Linked DNA regions of Rattus norvegicus. The protein of the gene in region 1 purifies or fractionates together with the protein of each later gene. This does not show direct contact. Links are inferred from orthologs where the notes say so. Each region holds a gene or a part of one and is shown on either strand. Other genes may lie near its edges.

The links. The genes of interacting proteins can lie anywhere in the genome.
Region 2: the proteins of Upf1 (region 1) and Upf3a purify together in Homo sapiens (affinity purification with western blotting; 5 studies listed by BioGRID and IntAct, with this or other methods). This does not show direct contact. The link is inferred for Rattus norvegicus from reciprocal best matches to the Homo sapiens genes UPF1 and UPF3A.
Region 3: the proteins of Upf1 (region 1) and Slbp purify together in Homo sapiens (affinity purification with western blotting; 4 studies listed by BioGRID and IntAct, with this or other methods). This does not show direct contact. The link is inferred for Rattus norvegicus from reciprocal best matches to the Homo sapiens genes UPF1 and SLBP.

Annotation. Positions count from the first base shown.
Region 1 is NC_086034.1:19,108,408-19,114,727, reverse strand, and holds the start of Upf1 (UPF1, RNA helicase and ATPase), read right to left. Parts: upstream 4,191-6,320; 5' UTR 3,911-4,190; coding exon 3,695-3,910; intron 1-3,694. UniProt on the Homo sapiens protein: RNA-dependent helicase required for nonsense-mediated decay (NMD) of aberrant mRNAs containing premature stop codons and modulates the expression level of normal mRNAs.
Region 2 is NC_086034.1:82,462,710-82,468,590, forward strand, and holds part of Upf3a (regulator of nonsense transcripts 3A), read right to left. Parts: coding exon 5,832-5,881; intron 4,468-5,831; coding exon 4,369-4,467; intron 4,253-4,368; coding exon 4,142-4,252; intron 455-4,141; coding exon 399-454; intron 307-398; coding exon 151-306; intron 1-150. UniProt on the Homo sapiens protein: Involved in nonsense-mediated decay (NMD) of mRNAs containing premature stop codons by associating with the nuclear exon junction complex (EJC) and serving as link between the EJC core and NMD machinery.
Region 3 is NC_086032.1:81,301,844-81,307,724, reverse strand, and holds the end of Slbp (histone RNA hairpin-binding protein), read right to left. Parts: intron 4,480-5,881; coding exon 4,330-4,479; intron 2,959-4,329; coding exon 2,877-2,958; intron 2,182-2,876; coding exon 2,065-2,181; 3' UTR 1,279-2,064; downstream 1-1,278. UniProt on the Homo sapiens protein: RNA-binding protein involved in the histone pre-mRNA processing.

The DNA.
Region 1 (6,320 bases):
CACCATGCAGGAAAGGAAAAAAAGATGCTGTGAGGGTAGAAGCCAGGCCACAGGCTGTCAAGAGATCATGTGGGAACACCTGAGGGTACAGAGGTGGCGCCAGTCCCAGCCACAGCATCGTGAGGGCCTCGGGGCTGCCGTCAGCCTCACCTGTGACCACTGGCCAATGGGCCTCATGGGTGCATGTGCTGCCCAGGGAACTGCACCAAAGGAGAGCCACAGTGACTACTGTCTCACTTTATAACAGCTGTTCCCAGCAGTGAGGAGGGCTCACAGAGGCAGAGCCCTTGAGAGATCTTGATTTGCTCACTTCTCTCCTAGTAAGACAGAGCTGGGTGAAGGGGCTAAATATGACAAATGTCATAGTCATGCACCCACAGTTCTGCTCTCAGAGCCTCAGCACTTCAACAGAGGACAGGTTTCCACACACCCACAATGGGACCGTACAGGAGGCTGAACCGTAGCAGGCATGATGTGGCCCATGAGGCTAAGGAGCCGCCTGTGGACAGTGAGGCTGGACGGGATGATAGGTCCCTGTGAAGAAGACAGACCAGGAGGTACTGGAGCACAGGAGCATATCAGAGTCCTTGTTGCCATTAAATCCTAAGTCTCCAGTATGGGCACACAGTGGCATCTGTTTTCTAGCATTCTGATTTTTGCTATTTCACTGATGGCAGAAGGCCTATGTGCTAAAAAGCATGTGACAGTGGAGATGCCACAGGTCCCCAAAGACCCATCACATCCCAACAAGGGCAACTCAATCCTATCTGGTGCCCCCTACCCTGGCCCCAGCTCCCTCTTTGGTCGTTCTTATCCTGATAGTGTCTACAGTCAAGCCCTGATACTTCTTCTCCATTAGTGGGTCCTGTTCCCACCGACTTCACTGTCAGAAAGAAAGGTGACAGCAGCACTCAGGAGCTGAGACCAGGGGTCTCTCCCACAAGCCTGCATTCAAGTGACAACTCACGTCGCCTCTTGGTTCTCTAAGGAAAAGGGATCTGAAAGTCAAGATCGGGGAAACCAGCCTGTCTTATCTCAGGGACTCTGCAAAACAGTGCCAGCACACTCTTCCTGGACCCTCAAGTGTTCTAATGAACAGTAGGGCCTTTCACACACAAAATGGGGTTCTCCAACATTGAGCCAACAGTCCTCTACCTCTAGACTTCAGGGTCAAATTCCCAGGGTCAGTATCCAGAGCCACACATGCAGAGGGACACAGGACTCCAGAATAAGCTTCTTCCTCTATAAACTTCTCCCAAGGTACCTTCCGGCTCAGTGCAGTGCAGCCACTCAGTCCCAAAAAGAATACACCAACACATACCAGCACAGGGGCACTCAGGTTATGACAGTAACAACAGGGCCCTGTGGTTTGTCTGCACTCCAAAGTAATGAACCACAAACATGAGAGACACAGGACAAGTATACTATGCCATCTATCCAGCAAAGGAAGGGCCTGAGACATTCACATCCACAGAGGCCACAGGATTCTTGGTGGCTGAAGAGAGAGGCTGGGGGTACAGGGACTCAGGATGCTGAGACATTACTTGGTATTAATGATGGTGGCCCAAAAGGCCACTGTCCTGTCAGCTTTCCAGGGATATATGCAGGTTCCATGATTCTGCTTCAATAAAGCCAGAAGAGAACTGCCAGCAGCCCACAGGGGCAGCTCAACCTACTGAGTAGGGGGTCTATCCTCCTAGGATCCCCTGTGTGACCCATTCACCTCCAAGGATAAATAACGAAAAGCAATGTTTTTGGTGGCTGAGGACACTGGGTGTGCAAAGGATTTTTTCCACTTTCCAATTTTGCTCACTTTCTGCCCACAGATACAGGTCTTCCTAATACAGGATTGAAGGCCCTCCCTCCCTCCTTCCCATTCTCCCTTCCTCCCTTCCTCCATCTCTTCCCTCCTCCCTCCCTCCCTCCCTCCCTCCCTTATGATGAGAGGCCACAGGTGGGCGGCAGCTCATGGCTCAATCTATGGTTTCAACTGGCGGAGCAGGGCACACCCATGTGAGCACACGCATAGCACAAGTCTGCTTTGTACATTAGCTAGAGCTAAAAGACCTTGAGATGAAGCACCCCACTTCCACTCCTGGTCTCCCCAGCTGTGCCATCACAGCCTGCTGCACAGTGCCCCTCTCCAGGCCCATAAGGCTGGAAGGAAGGAAGGAAGGAAGGAAGGAAGGAAGGAAGGAAGGAAGGAAGGAAGGTAGGTAAGTAGGTCTACCTAGTGGGGAAACTAACAGGAGGACTGGCCTTCTGGGCCACTTCACTCCTCCAGGCAACCTGCCCTCTCTCCACCTCCTTACGCTAAAGGTAAATAGCTAGAAACAACACGCAGGCACACCTGATCCTGCACCGCAGTAGGGGCTGACTCAGCCTTCTTCTCCTATTAGGGCTGAAAATGAGCCCAAGTGGGTGGTCTACCCACAAATATGACTCAACCAGCCAGCTCGAAGGCCCTCCCGGAACTCGGTCTGAGATCACTGCTGGAGACTGGTGGTGGCTCCCTAGCCCTAAGCACACACATGGACTGTAAGAACACCTGTGGCTCTAGTCGGCAGCTCCCCGGAGAATACAGGAAAACAAAGCCTAGAGGTGCCCAACACCAAGCCAGCCATTTGACAGGGAGGTAGGGATGGCCTGTCCCTAGCCTACACCGACAGTCTGTCATTCAAAACAAAAGCCCCTCCCCAGGGCACAGTCACCCGTGTGATACCCATTGTGGTTGCCTCTAAGGAACAAAACTCAAACCCAACTTTTCCAAGCAGAGCCTAGGAGTTACATAACACTGGTCTCAGCAACAGGCAACCCAGAAGGAAAAAACGAACCAGCAGCTGTCTCTCAGCCACCTTAACCAGCCACAAAGTGGGCTGTTTCCACCCGAGGCGCCAAAACCCTAGATTTGCTCCAGAGAGCCCCTCCACCAAACTTGAACCCTGGCTGGAGGCGTGGTGGATGGAAGTGGCAAGAGGGTGAGATGGGATGGTTGGACTAGCCAAATAGGTGACCCTGGAGGACAGTGTGGGTCCAGAGGATAGCACTAGGGCCAGAGAAACCTAGTGTAGGTCACCTTAGACCCACCTAGAAGGGGAGTGAGGGCAGTTCTGGCATAAGCCTTGAGCTGGAGCAGATTCTGTGCTATACAGGAGGAGGGACACTAATGCAGGTCACTGCCCAGTCTAGCTGGGTGGAGGAAAACAGGACAGGTAGCAGAGACTAGGTGCAGGTGGCTAGGACAAGAGGCAGGGAATTAGAGGAGATGGTATGTAGTAGGGACCTGAGGCAGATGGCAATGACTGTGGCAGGTAGACCTGGGAGAGGTATTGGAAAAGGTAGCTGAAGGTGGAAGCAGAGATCTGGGAAAGGGGTAAGTAAACGGGAACCAGGGTAGGGTAGCAGAGATCTAGGACAGGTAACAAGGACCCAAGGCAGGTGGCAGGTACCTGGGCAGTTAAACAGGAATCTAGGGTGGGTAACTAGAGATGGTCAATAGGGATTTTGTTTAAGGAGCCAGAGTAGGAAGCATACACCCAGGCTTATTAACTGGACCTGGGGCCGGTAGCTCGGACCAGCACAAACTCGGACCTGGCGCAGGTTCACAGGGGCCCAGGGCTGGTTAACTGAGACCTGGCGCCGCAGCTCCCGCTCCCGCCCGGTTTCCGGCGCCGCCATGCGCCGCTCAACTCACTTGCGCGTCGAGCTGGCCGGCCGCGCCGCCTGCACCCGCTCCGCCTGGGCCTCCCGCGCCGCCGGGGCCGCCGGGGGGCGTCTGCGTCTGGCTGGGTAGGGTGAAGTCGGTGAACTCGAACTCGGAGCCCTGGGTGTCGGCACCGAGCAGCTCGGCCTCCTCAGTGTCCAAGAAGGTGAGTGTCTGAGAGCTGGGGCCGTACGCCTCCACGCTCATCTTGCCGCCCGGGCCGCGCCTTCCGCCGGCGCCTCACCGCACTCGAGCCCGAGGCTTCGCCTAGGCCTAGGCCGTAACCCGGAGCAGCCGCTGCCGCCGCCCTGAGGACCGGGCGGGCTCCGAGCCGGCCTCTGGAAGCAGAGCCCGGACTCCGGCTCCGAGCTCTGAGTTGCCGCCGCCGCTGCCGCGCCCCTCCGCAACGCTGCTCGCCTCAAAGCCGACCGCCGCTCTCAGCCCCCTGGACAGGAACCGCCGCCGCCGCCACCGCTGCGGTGCGCGTGCGCGAGCCCGACGCCGGCGCAGGCGCGCGCGTCCCTCCCGGAAAGTAGCCAACCGCACCGGGGCACTAGGAGCAGAGCGGGAGGGCGGAATTCGTCGTGCGCCTGCGCGAAGAGGCGGGCCTTCAACTGCCTAAAGGACCTGGGCTCGCGAACTTGGCTCCGCCCCAACCGCTGCCTAGTGATGCGCATGCGGGGTTGCGACATCCTCACCGCCAGGCTTCTGGGCTGCATGTTCATTAGGTGCTAACTGAGGCTCTTTCCAGAAGGTCTTGGGTGTAGAAACTGTGGCACAGGGACCGCGCATCTGCCTTCCTTGAGCTCTAGTTACCCCGTCTGCCACTTGACTCGTGGCCATCTTTACTATTCATCGATTGAATGAGTAGAGAGCAGGGATTCTGCCAAATGGTAGTCACTGCTACCCCTGGCACTCCTGAAGCCTGTGAAGATAACTGCTTCTTTCTTTTATCTTGAGATCAAGTCCCACTGGTCCGGGCTAGCCTGGGAATCGCTGAGAAGGGGTCAGATCCTCTAGAACTAGTTACAGATGATTGTTAGCCCCTCTTGTAAGTGCTGGGAGCCAATTCTTTGCCTCTGAGCCATCTCTCTAGCCTGTTTTGAAAGAGGGCCTCATATAGTAACCCAGGCTGGTTTGGAACTCTGGGGAATCTTCCTGCCTCAAAGCCCCTGGTGGTGCGATGACTGTACATTCGATATTGTCCACAGAACCCAGAGCTTTTGTATGCTAGGCAAAGGCCACCAACTGATGAGCATCCACAGCCAGAATCGAGACTCAGAGGAACACACTCCTTCCTCCCTGTGCTACCTTCCCACTCTCAGTGGAGGATGTGTAAGTGTCGCAGCTCTGAAGGGAAAGGCCTTCCCCCACAGAAGTGGATCCGCTCTGCTTGGGCAGGGGAGGTTTCCCCAGAGAAAGTGTTTCACTGTGTTCCAAAAGGTATCCTGGCAATTGGGAGCCAAGGAATACAACAAAGTCACAGCACACAACAAACCTCATAGGAGATTTATTGGGAGGGGAAAACCCAGGAGGGTGGCTGCCTCTGCTGAGGTGGCTCTCCCAGTCAGTACAGGGCTGGATGTGGTGGCACGTGCCTTAAAATTCAAGCACTCAGGAGTCGGAGGCAGGGGGATTGCTAACTCTGAAGCCAGTCTTGTCTACAGAGCGATGTCCAGGACACCCAGCATTACATAATCTCAAAACACAAAAAAGATGCTGTGTGTAGAGGCCCAGGCCCAGGACTCTGGAGATGGAGGAGTGTTTGTCTGCATGCATGCCTGTGCACCATGTATGTCTATGCAGTGCCCTTGGAAGCCAGAAGAGAGCACATGATCCCCAGAGAAATGGAGTTACAGATGGTCGTGAGCTGCCTGTGGGTGCCAGGAATTGAACCTGTATCCTCTGCAAGAACAGGCTCTTGCTCACTGAGCCATCTCTCCAGCCTCAATGCACACAATTTAAGAGACTAAAATATATTTTAAAGACCAAAACAAGGGGGCTGTTGACATGGCGCAGTGTACCCGAGCTCAAATTTCTAGACCCTATGTAAATGTTGGGGTGTGAGGACATGTGCCTGTAACCCCAGCTCCTCTTTGGGAAGATGGGAAGCAGGGTCTCCAGAAGCTTGGGGCAGGCCAGCCTGCAATATCCAATGCTGACAAGAGATCCTGCCTCACACAAGCTGGGGCTTGAAGAGGCACACATGGCATTGTCTGATGTTACAGGTGCCTGTGGTAAATGGCCTGCACACACAGGCTTGTGCCCATACTGTGCATGTCTGAGACTTCTCCACAGTGTCCCAGTGTCACAGCAATGTATACTTTGTTAAGAACCTGAGGTCACAGAGGAAGTGTGGGGCCACTGTTTCTTCTCCTCCTTCTCCTCCTCTTCCTTCTTCTTTAATATAAACCTTTTTTTAAAAGGATTTTATATGAGCACACTGTAGCTGTCTTCAGACACAGCAGAAGAGGGCATTGGATCCCATTACAGATGGTTGTGAGCCACCATGTGGTTGCTGGGAATTGAACTCAGGACCTTTGGAAGAGCAGTCATTGCTCTTAAGTGCTGAGCCACCTCTCCAGCCCTTTTCTTCTTTTTTAGTGAAGGACTCTGT
Region 2 (5,881 bases), about 63 Mb from region 1:
GGACGGCTGAACTCGGGGGACTGTTATAGAATGGATGTAAGGCACTGGGATAAAGGGCTAGATGGCCTACACGTGATGACCTTAAAGAGTTACGGTAGACACTTCAGTGGCGTAACCACGGTGACAGAGCCGCACTGCTCCTGCAGTTACCTTGATCCTCACGTCCTTCTCCGCTCGCTTCTGTTTTTCTGCATCTTTCCTTTTACACCTGTCCTCTTCTCTCCGCTTCCTCTTCTCTTCCTCCCGCAGACGCTTCTTCTCCAGCTCCCTCCTCCTCCGCTCCTCGCGTTTTTCTTCCCGGAGTCTCTGAAGGTACATACAGTCAGACACAAATGTAAGGCTCCTGTGTGGAAGCAGCAGGTACAGCACAGACGCTCACCAGGTCAAACGCCACCTACCTGCTTTTCTAATTTTCTGTTTTTAATATATTCCAAAAGAGGTGTGGTTCTTCTGGCTAAAGAACAAAAATTATAATACATTACACATAACTTGTAAGTTCAGATTTATTTTAAGTACTTATTTCCAATTTAACATTAAAATAATTAGGGGAAGAACACTATCTCTAAAATGTACGTGAGTATGCCCTGTACCTGGGAGCACTCTTATTCTGTTGTTACATATTCGAGTAATTTGTAGGTACTGACCACTCTGTATCCACTGACATACCACTCTTCTAAGTTCTTACTAGCATATATCAATTATGCATAATAATGGGCTACTATGACATTTCTTATACATATAAAATGTACTTTGACCACAGTTACACTCTACGACCTACCCACGACCCCGCCCTCTCCTGCTGACCCTTTTCTTCCCAACTCCTCCTCCTCCAGTCCCCCTTTGTCATTGTTTCCCAATGAGTTTAATCAGAGCTGTTTGTAGGAGGAGAATGGGTATGCAGTTATTTACTGAACCACAGGCGACTGAACAGTGAAGAGAAAGTCACACATTTTTTCTTAGAAAAGGTCATAAGAGAGCCTCAAACTGAAGAGCAGACCCGAGTGTGCTGCAGTCCTGGAGTAACTGAGGTGGCGACAACGCCACGGTTTCCTTGCATGGACAGAAGCTCTCGGTTCTCCTGCGAGCAGTTACAGCAGCTAAGAAAGCGCTTCGAGACAGACCCCAACCCTAACGAGGAGACTCCTGAGGCCTTGGCCGAGGAACCCAAACTGGCAAAGGATGCATTAGGCACTGGTTCTTCAAGAAGAGGCGCGAGACGATGCTCAAGGGGTCGTCTAAGGCCTGCGAGAACTGCAAAATGTGCTGCTGCCACTGTACGTCAAGAGGAACCACCAGGCAGAACCCCAAGGAGTCCCCTCAAAATGACCCTGGACCCGAAGCTTTGGAAGCCTTGAGGAGTCCCACACTCTCTTCTGGGTACCGTAGCAGAGATAACATGTCACGGGTTTCTGACCTGTCAACCTCCTTGTTGGGATTTATGTCTATGGAAGGTACATTAACAATAAAGCTTGCATTCATAGAAACTAAAAGAAAAGCCATAAACTATCGCTCACACAGTTGACAGAAAATGTGTATGTATGACATCGGAAGCGTCTCAAATGCTACTAATTTATTTTTACTTCTGAAGTAATGTTTACAAATTTACTTTCCTGCTATGCACATTTTCAGAATTTTTTCTTCTTCCACTGTTGGGTTTTTTTTTAAAAAAAGATCTATTTAATTTTATTTTATCTGTAAGAGTGTTTTGTCTGTATGTATGATGTGTACCATGTTTGTGCCTGGTGTCTGTGGTGGTCAGAAGAGGCTGTCAGATTCCCTGGAACTGAAGTCAGTAACCGTGTGGGAGCTGGGAACTGCTCTCCTCTACAGAAACAAGTGCTCTCGGTGCTGAGCCATCTTTCCAGCACCGATAAAACAGTCTTTAATACATGCCAACCCAATTTAAAAGTCCAAAATCAAATGCCCCCAAGTAACATTTTGAGCTCTGACGTAACAACACAAGTGGGAAATTCTATACGTACTTTTATGAGATAGGCCAGTCAAAACAGATACACTGCTCCACAGTCTTCAAATGTGAGCGCATGGCGAGAAGATGGGGATGGGCCTGCTCTACGGACCTTTAAGATCTCATAGTGAACAGGCGGGGAAGAATCCTTGGACATACCTGAGAGTTCACGTGATACTGAGGACCTTGGATACCTGGCTAGAGACACATGGTACTCAGCCTCACAGAGAGTGGGCATGCTCAGTAATGCCCACGCATTATGGCAGGAGCTATGTCGTGGATGTAATCAGTCTGGCAGAAATGAATTAACTTTAAAGAGACACATTGGCTATCAGATTTGCAAAACAAAGGATCCCAAGATAAAGTTCAATAAGACTACCTTATCTCTCCTCCCTCCTAATTACAACAGTTTACAGAGCTCAACAAGGAGATGGTGTTTGCCGTGGCCATGAAGTGCCAAGCCTCAGAGATAATCCTAAGCTGGTCCAGTCGGAAATCCTGTCCACACAAGCTTATGACTTTATTTAAACCTTGAACTTCATGTCCGAGATTCTGATTAAAGGCAGACTCAGTTAACTACAGATGCAGCCTCCACGGCCCACATCTGGAATGAAGCTCTGAGCAAGATCCAGCAGGCTGAGGCCCCAAGGACAGACGCCCTCCGTGGGAACAAACTAGGTTCCAATCCTCAAAGAGGACGTCTCAAAGTAGCCTGTAGTGACGCCCTGATGGCAAGGGGACATTTGAGGTGACTTCTGAAGTACCTAAGCTGCCTTTTCTACCTTCATAAATTTAACATGTTTGAGTCAAATCTCGAGTTTTGTCCCCGAAGTCTCCTTGTCTGTCTTTTCTAGGTATACGTGGAGCCACAACTAACTCGCCTGCCCATCTGAACCCCCCTGGTCTTTCGTTCTTTCTGCCCCGGAGCCCCCACAGCCCCCACACTAATCCAGTCATTATCCTCCTTTCTGCCAATATTTGACTTCTAAAACATGCTCGGCATAACACGACAGGCTTCTCTGGGGAGCGAGCTGTCAGCCAGACCTGCCTCTCTCTGGCACTCAGCAGCACCGCGGACATAGCGATAATGGGTGTGAATTAGCCCACGCCTCTCCCTGGGAGGTGGCAGGTGTCAGGGCTCAGCATGGGCTCCTTACATCTCAGCAGTCACATGAGCTACATGCTGTTCCTACAGAGTTTCAGACTCCGGTCTCTTCATTCACTCACTTCATTCACACACTCACTTTTAAACATCTCTTTTCTGTAACTACAAGATGCATATATTGTTCCACTGTGCAAGTAGGGGAGGAAATCGGGAAGGGAATTCATGTGGAAACCAGTAAACCGATTATACGTGAGGTGTTATACAAGTCTTGACAGGTGAGCAGGACATGTTAGGGTGCTCGGTCGTGGGAAAAAGGGTTCTGTTTTTAAAATCTGTATGTGTATGAATACTCTGCATATTTGTGTGTCTACCATGTATGTGCAGTACCCACAGAGGCCAGAAGAGGGCGCTGGATCCCCTGGGACTGCGGTTATAGACTGCTGTGAGCCACCATTTGTGTGCTGGAAATCCAACCCGGGACCTTTGGAAGATCAACAATGCTCTTAACTATCTCTCCAGACCCTCGAGGAGAGGTTTAATACTGAGACCATCAGGAAATGGGACATTTGGGTGGGTCTGAGGCTGAACTAAGTGTGCCTGGTGAAAACCAAAGGGGTCTCATGTCTGCACACATATTTTCTGAAGAGACAAACATTTCTAAAACAGAAGTTCTATGGGGATTCAAACCAGATGCTAGACTCTAGCTGGGCTCACGCACTGACAGAAGAGCTTTCTCAGATTCTTAGCTTCCTGTATGAGCCAAGTGTCTTGTCTCTACAGGCTCCCAAGGCTCACCCGCGGCTGCTCTGCAGAGACAGTAATGCTGTGACAAAAGCTCCTCTCTGAGCAGCTAAGGGCATGCGCTTGTCTGTGGCAGCACGGCCATTTTAAACAAAGGCCCTAGAAGCATAGTCTTCATCAAGAAAGGCTCAGAAATATTTCTCCATGCTATTGCTCTTTGGTAGAAAGAAGAAAATACTGTTTCCATCCAGCCTGTGATGTTAAAAAATGGAGAATTAAACATATACTCCATCAGTAAGCATCTCAATGAACACACAGGCAAAACTGACCCAGCAACTCTCTCGTCTTCGCCTCTATCTCTCCCAGCAGTGTCTCAGGACTAGCGCTGGTCTTTTCTTCCTCCAAGCTGTACGACTCCAGGAACTGTTTATACTCTGGGTCTGCAGTTTAAAACAGAACGAATGAATGAATCAGGTACCCCCCTCCAACGGTAGGTCATGCTTGGTCAGTGTAGTTAATCTACAGATTTATAAATCAGCTTTTGAAAAGGACTCACCGTCTTCGATGCTTCCGGTCTTGGCATCCTTTTTCTTCACCTTCTTTTTGGCAATCTTCTGGAATGGAGCAAACTCCACCACTGCAGGGTACTCCAGGCCTGGAAGGAGAGATATTCCAAGGGTCACTGTGAACTCCACTCTACTCGCCTTGGGAAAGCAGTATCTAACGCCGCGTCTATCTACGTGGGGTTAAAGCTTCAGATCCAACCTGCTTCCAGGAAGTGGTGAAGAGAAGCAACTCTCACGACATCATCAGGGGACTCACAGCACTACTCACCACACGCAGTGGTCCGTCATCAGGGGACTCACAGCACCACTCACCACACGCAGTGGTCCATCATCAGAGGACTCACAGCATAAAACAGCTCAGTGACAAGGGAGAAATGCACAGGTCCGTAAACACAACTCTTCCCTATTACTTCCAAATGATGTCTGAACGGACCTTCAGTCATGCCTTTTTGTTACAGTCAACTATTTTGATGTTAGGTGTTTTGTGTTAGAGCGATAACTCAGTGGTTGAGAGTAACTGCTGTTCTTGCATAAACCACATTAGGTGGCTCACCAAAACCTATACGTCCAGGGCCAGAAAACCCAATTCCCTCTTATGACTTCTGAGGACACCTGCACATAGTACACACACACACACACACACACACACACACACACACACACACACACACACACACGTACACAGAGAGAGAAGGTAGGAGGACCACGAGTCACTCAGGAGGCAGGGGAATTAATCACTGAGGCTTTAAGGCCAGCCTGAGCTAAAAGAGTCTATCTCAAAAAGGGGAGGGGGAGATAAGATGATTTCAGATGCATATATTTTACTAATATTTAAAATGAAGAGATCAGCTGAATAAAGGAGTCAGCAGTGAACTAAAATGCCCAATAGCCTGAGCCCTAAACCTGCTTGACACTCACAGACTCACAGAAACTACAACCTGACCTTCTGCTCGCCACAACGGAGAAGGGACCGCGAAGTTGTGGAGGAGAGATGGAGGAGTTCAGTATTGGGAGGGGGATGGGTGGGGAAAGAATGTCTGGGGAGGGCAGAAAAGAGCTTCCTACAGAATGTTTACAAACCTTAAGGCAGAAAATATAACACAGGGCAGTTGGACAGGACAGGGAAGGAAGAATATAAAAACAGATGCAGAAAGTTCAGGAGCAGAGTCCCTGAGGGGGAGACCGCACCGCATGCTCCAGGGCTGCTATTCATGACCATATGCCCCTCTGCAACACTTTCAAGAAACCGCAATCATGGCCAGTACTCTGGATTCCTGCGTAAATGTAACTTGGAAAAGGAACGCGCGAACACCCACTCTCCAGCAATGGTGCATTCCTGTTCTCCTCACACAGAATGTCTGGGATTCTTTGGTTTATAAGCCTCGACAGCACGCGATACAGTAACAGTAAACGTTTATGACCTTATTTGAGAAGTTAACTGAAACTCACTAACCTTTATTGCCAATGAAGATGTATCCATCAAAACGGTCTCTGAACAGCAGG
Region 3 (5,881 bases), on another chromosome or scaffold:
TACCCTCTTGTCCATGGAGAATCACCTGTGTGCTCTGGATTCTCAAGCCTGCTTCCTGTTTATAAGATCCCCAAGCCTAAAAGGTTGATTTCACTTCCACTGCCCATTCTCATCACTCCAGCTTGGAATATGTCTGCCAAACTATCAAAATGTCTTTAAAGATTTATTATTATATTTATTTTTAATATTTATTTATTATATATGAGTACACTGTAGCTGTCTTCAGACACACCAGAAAAGGGCATCAGATCCCATTACAGATGGTTGTGAGCCACCATGTGGTTGCTAGGAATTGAATTCAGAACCTCTGGAAGAGCAGTCAGTGCTCTTAACCACTGAGCCATCTCTCCAGCCCTAAATCTTTTTTTTTTTTTTTCTTTTTCTTTTTTTCGGAGTTGGGGACCGAACCCAGGGCCTTGCGCTTGCTAGGCAAGCGCTCTACCACTGAGCTAAATCCCCAACCCCCTAAATCTTTTTTTTTTTTTGGTTCTTTTTTTCCAGAGCTGGGGACCGAACTCAGGGCCTTGCGCTTCCTAGGCAAGCACTCTACCACTGAGCTAAATCCCCAACCCCTAAATCTTAATTCTTATCTTTACCAGAAAATCTGTATTCTGGAATTCATTTAATTTTAGCACTGTTTGCCATCAGGAGAGGAAGTTACTCAGATTCCACTCTGGATTCAGACCTTCCTTGAGCATATCAATAACCCCACTATTCATGGCAGAAGCCAGGAGGTACTGCCCCCCCCCACCCCCCCGAGACAGCAACATCCAGCACAAGGATGGTTTTCCTACTTTCCTCCTCCAGCTTTCACTGTTTCAGGTCCTCCTAGCCTCCACACAGGCTCATAGTCAGCTTATCTATACTTCTACCTCAGGGCCTTTGTACTTGCTTGTCTTTCAAGGCGTAACTCATAATGCCACCTACCAGGCATCTCCAGAATCCCTACCTGACCCTACTCATTTATCTCAACCTGATGGTCTCAAACCAACCATAAAGTCTTCAGGGTCACTACTGTGGCTGACATAGAACCTGCAGAGAACAAATGTCAAATATACAAAGGCCCTTTGTGCTTAGGCACAAAATGGTGAGGCTTGTCAGAGCATTGTAATCAAGGACCCCTTACAGATCAGATGGATGGGAACTTAACACGTCAGCAGTGTCTGTACATGGTTTTCTCACCAAAGGGAGATAACATTCCCTTATGCCAAACAAATGCTTCAGGTACAAAAGAAAAGTTTGCCCTGACCCCTTCACACAGTACAGGGCAATGTTATAATCAGTTAAAGCATCTTTATTTTTGCAATTATCATTCCATACAAAAGCAATAGAAATGCAAATATTGACAAGTTTACAATTGAATACATGAACAGAGTTATCTGTACACATCATTTACAGCAATATTACATGGTAAATTAACTGATCATTAAAAAAAAAAAAAAAAAACAAAGTTCTTTCTAAATCCCTCTCTTCCTCTCTTCTGCATCAACTCACAGAGCATTTACTAAAATACTTACCTCACACTAATGCTATTTCAAGTTCCAAATTAAAACTATATAACTTACATAAAAGCCCATTAATATAACAGCTTAACATCTTTGCTCAGAGCTCTGTATGAGGGAAAGCTACATTCACATTGATAAAAGACCAGAAAATAAGTTTTTACAAAGTCACTGCAGCTGCCTGACTGAGAATTCTTCATCAGTTACCTAAAGGGCAGCCAATTCTAAATTGGTCCCATAAACACACGGTTAAAATCCGTGGCCAACCCATTTGAAACGTGGTAGCTGGAGTCCCAAGTTCTGGTAGAAAACCACACGCATCCTGTTGTCTAACTTAGGAGGCAGAAAGGTAATAGGGTTAAGTCTTCACTGGATTCAGCTTCATTTACAATTTAAAACATGCGTAACACATTCACCATACATAAAAATAAGGCAAGAAAAACTATTTATCATGAGAAAATAAATTCTTAACAGAGAAAACAAATACAAATGCACAGCAACTCATGCCTTCCAGGCAGCCAGGCAGAGCCAAGTATTTCTCAGAGTAACCACCAGGGGGCAGTTAACTCATGGCAGAGAAGTCTTTCAAAGGTTCAGTTAAACAAGCTTCCAAATCAAACTCGTCCTCCACTTGGCAGTCCACATGTCTGACTTTGGTGGGTGTGCCAGCATATACATCCTGGAAAATAGAGGTAGTCACACCTGCATCAGTCCATCGCACAAGCTTCACCTTAGTTATTACTCTGAGCACGAAGACATTTCTTTAGTGTATATACATATTCATTTCTGACTTGTCACAACCACATGGTATACTATGAAAAGGATCAATAAACCTGAGTACAACTGGAGTGACACAGATGGGAGCCAGAATAAGGCAATGCATCTTTGTTCATGGCCATGACCAAATATGGCAAAAGAATAGCTTATAACTGCTTGTGTTTGAAGTCTTTTATGTTTTGCCACTTCAGAATCTAGGTATTATATATATACAAATATACAATATTGGCCTATATACAATAGTGCAAGGTCTTATTCACAGATATAAGGGCATCTTTTTAGGTAAACTGTATAAATGTGAACAGATTTGAACAAATGTACGACGTCATTAACTACTAAACCAATGAGAAAGATTATACTGGGAAATGAGGGAAGCCCTTATGTAGTCCTAGCAACCTAGCAGGCCTGGATTTTGCCACACACACCATGCTGGCCTGGAAGTTAGAGATGCTGGCTTGGAACTTAAAAGATCAGCACACCTCTGCTTTGAATGCCTTCAATTCATTCGCACACTGGTATTAAAATACTCTACCACCCCCAGTCATAACTCAAATGACTTAAAACACCCAAGCTGAGAGACAGACTAAAAGTACTTACAAAGTTATCCTGTGAACTTGTCTGGGACTCAGAGCTGCTTTCTGTGAATTCTGTCTCCATTTCCCCAAGATCTACAGGTTGTCTAAGAAATAAAATAAGCTTATCAGTCACCTGTTACAATCAGAAAGGTTGTTTGCTAAAGCCAAACACCACCCACAACAGTGTTGTTTCCCATGGAACATTTCACATTTGCCAAATTTCATTCCTGACCAATCAACCCAACACAGAAAGCTGGCAGCAACTCCCAGGTGAAAGGTCACCCAGCTTGGAGGACTAGTCTGAGAATCTATGCTGTTATTCACATATATCCATAAATATCCTTTTCCCGATTCTCCTTTCTTTCTTTTCTTTCTTTCCTTCTCTTTTCTTCCTTTCATGTAAAGTGGTGTTTTGCTACATGTCTGTGAGAAAATGACAGACCCTCCAGAACTGGAGTTAGACAGGTATGAGTTGCCATGTGGGGAATTGGAAGAGCAGTCAGTGCTCTTTAACCACTGAGCCATCTCTCCAGCTCCCTTTTTTGTTTATCTATCTATACACTCTGGCTGTCCTAATTCCTGGCCCTGTAAACATTCTTGAAAAGTAGTAGCAAGAGAGGAATGGTAGGGTGTCAATACCTTTTAAGTCAGAACTTCAAGGTGTGCCTGTGATACAGAGTTAAGACCCTGATCAAAACACCAAAAAGATACAGCTAGGGATGTGGCTTGGTCTGAACAGTGTTTGCCTAGCATGAATCAATTGGGGTCTATGAGCCCTGAAGAAATGGCTTAGTGTCTAAGAGCACTAACTGCTCTTTCAAAAGTTCTGAGTTCAAGTTCCAAAAACTGAATGGTGGCTTATAGCCACCTATAATGAGATCCAATGCCTTCTGTTTTGCAGGCATAGATGCAAAGCACCCATACGTAAAAAATGTATAAACCAGACTAAAAAGAGGACAGGAGATAGTGGTGCAACCTTTAATCCCAGTATTCAGGAGTGCAGGAGGAACTCTACATTCAAGGCCTACCTGGTCTACACTTCTAGGTCCAGGATGTCAGGACTACAGAGAAACCCTAGGTCCAAAATCTAAACCAAAAAAAAAAAAAAAAAAAAAAAACCCACTCAAATAGAACTGGGGATATTGCTCAGTGGAAAATAGGCAGAAGCTTCTAATTTTGGAATCCCAGAATGCATGTCAAAGAAAGCTCCCAAGGCTACCTGGCCCAAAGTAACAAACACAGTGAACACAAGAACCTACCTCAGACAGGTATAAAGAACTGACACCCAAGGTTTTCCTCTGAAATGTACACACAGCCGAGTGTCCTAGACTGAGCTGTTTTCTAACTCTCAAATTCCTTCCTAGCATCCACAACTGTGCAATAATAAATCAAGCCTGAAGGCTAGTGTCTGTTCTCAACAGTGTCCAGGGAATCTGTCACTGTGACAGGAGATAAAGAAAGAAACAAAGACATACATTTCTTGCAAATCACACCCTTCTTCAGCAGGAGGATCCCAAAAATGCAAAGCCACCTTCCAGAGTTTGATCTGCTGGTCCCATGACCGCCGGCTATACTTCTTAAATTTGTTGGGGGTCCTGGGATGGATTCCAGGCTGTCGCAGGTGTCTGCAGGACATAAGATTACCTTAGCACACTTTGAGGTCAACATTTAACAAATAACTTATATTCTCTTTTCTTTTTATTTATTTTTAGCTTTTCATAGTCAGGGTCTCCATATGTAAGCTCAGCACTTGCTATGTGGATCAGGCTGGTCTCAAATTCAGAGATCCTCCCATGTCTGCCTCTTGATTGCCCAGATTAAAAGCATGCACTACCACACCTAGTAATGACTGAGAGTCCATAAGGCGAACAAAGAAATCCACTAAAAGTAGTATCTCAACCAGGCACAAACCTATACTCTCAGCACTTGGGAGGCTGGGGCAGAATGGTAAATAAAAGACACCCAGCAAGACCCTTTCTTAAAATCTTACTATTCCTTTAAAACCCATATTCTAGGGGTTGGGGATTTAGCTCAGATGTAGAGCGATTGCCTAGCAAGCGCAAGGCCCTGGGTTTGGTCCCCAGCTCCGAAAAAAAGAAAAAAACAAAACAAAACAAAAAATACCCCATATTCTAGAAAATGTTTTAATCCCAATTCTGCTTAAAAGACACATATACACAGCCATATTATATGTCTGTTCAAGAGAACAATAAAGCTGACACATGCCTTTAACCCAGCACTCTGGAGGCAGTTAGGTGGATCTCTTAAGTTTGAGGGCAGCCTGGTCTACAAAGTGAGTTTTAAGACAGCCAAGGCTGCACAAAGAAATCCTGCCTTGGAAAAGAGAGAAAAAGGGGAGACAGGGTAATGATTTTTTTTTTTCACTTAAGGACTCTCAGAATCCAGAGTGGCTCAAAACCATCTGTAATTATAGTTCCAGGGGCTCCGACACCCTCGTCTGGCCTCCAGAGGTACTCGGCATGCACATGGCATACTGTACATGCATGCAGAGGGGAAAAACCCTCATATATAATCTCTCCTTCTCTCTGGTTTTTCTAGACAGGGTTTCTCTGTGAAGCCTTAGCTGTCTTGACACTGTAGACGAGGCTGTCCTTGAACTGAGAGCTCTGCCTGTCTCTGCCTCCTGAGTGCTGGGATTAAAGGTATGTCCACCATGACCAGGCTTCATACACACAATCATTAAAATACCACCATGCCCAGCTCTCCAATTAGATAATTGTTTACTTTCCTATTGTGTATTTTAATAACTACATACTCTATAAAATGACACACTTTCTAAGTCCTGAGGATGTCAAAACATCCACAGCCTTTCTTTTTTTTTTTTTTTGGTTCTTTTTTTCGGAGCTGGGGACCGAACCCAGGGCCTTGTGCTTCCTAGGTAAGCGCTCTACCACTGAGCTAAATCCCCAGCCCCCCATCCACAGCCTTTCTGATGCCAATCTATTCTTGGTTTGAACGTAAATTCTTTTTTTTTTTTTTCCAGAGCTGGGGACCAAACCCAGGGCC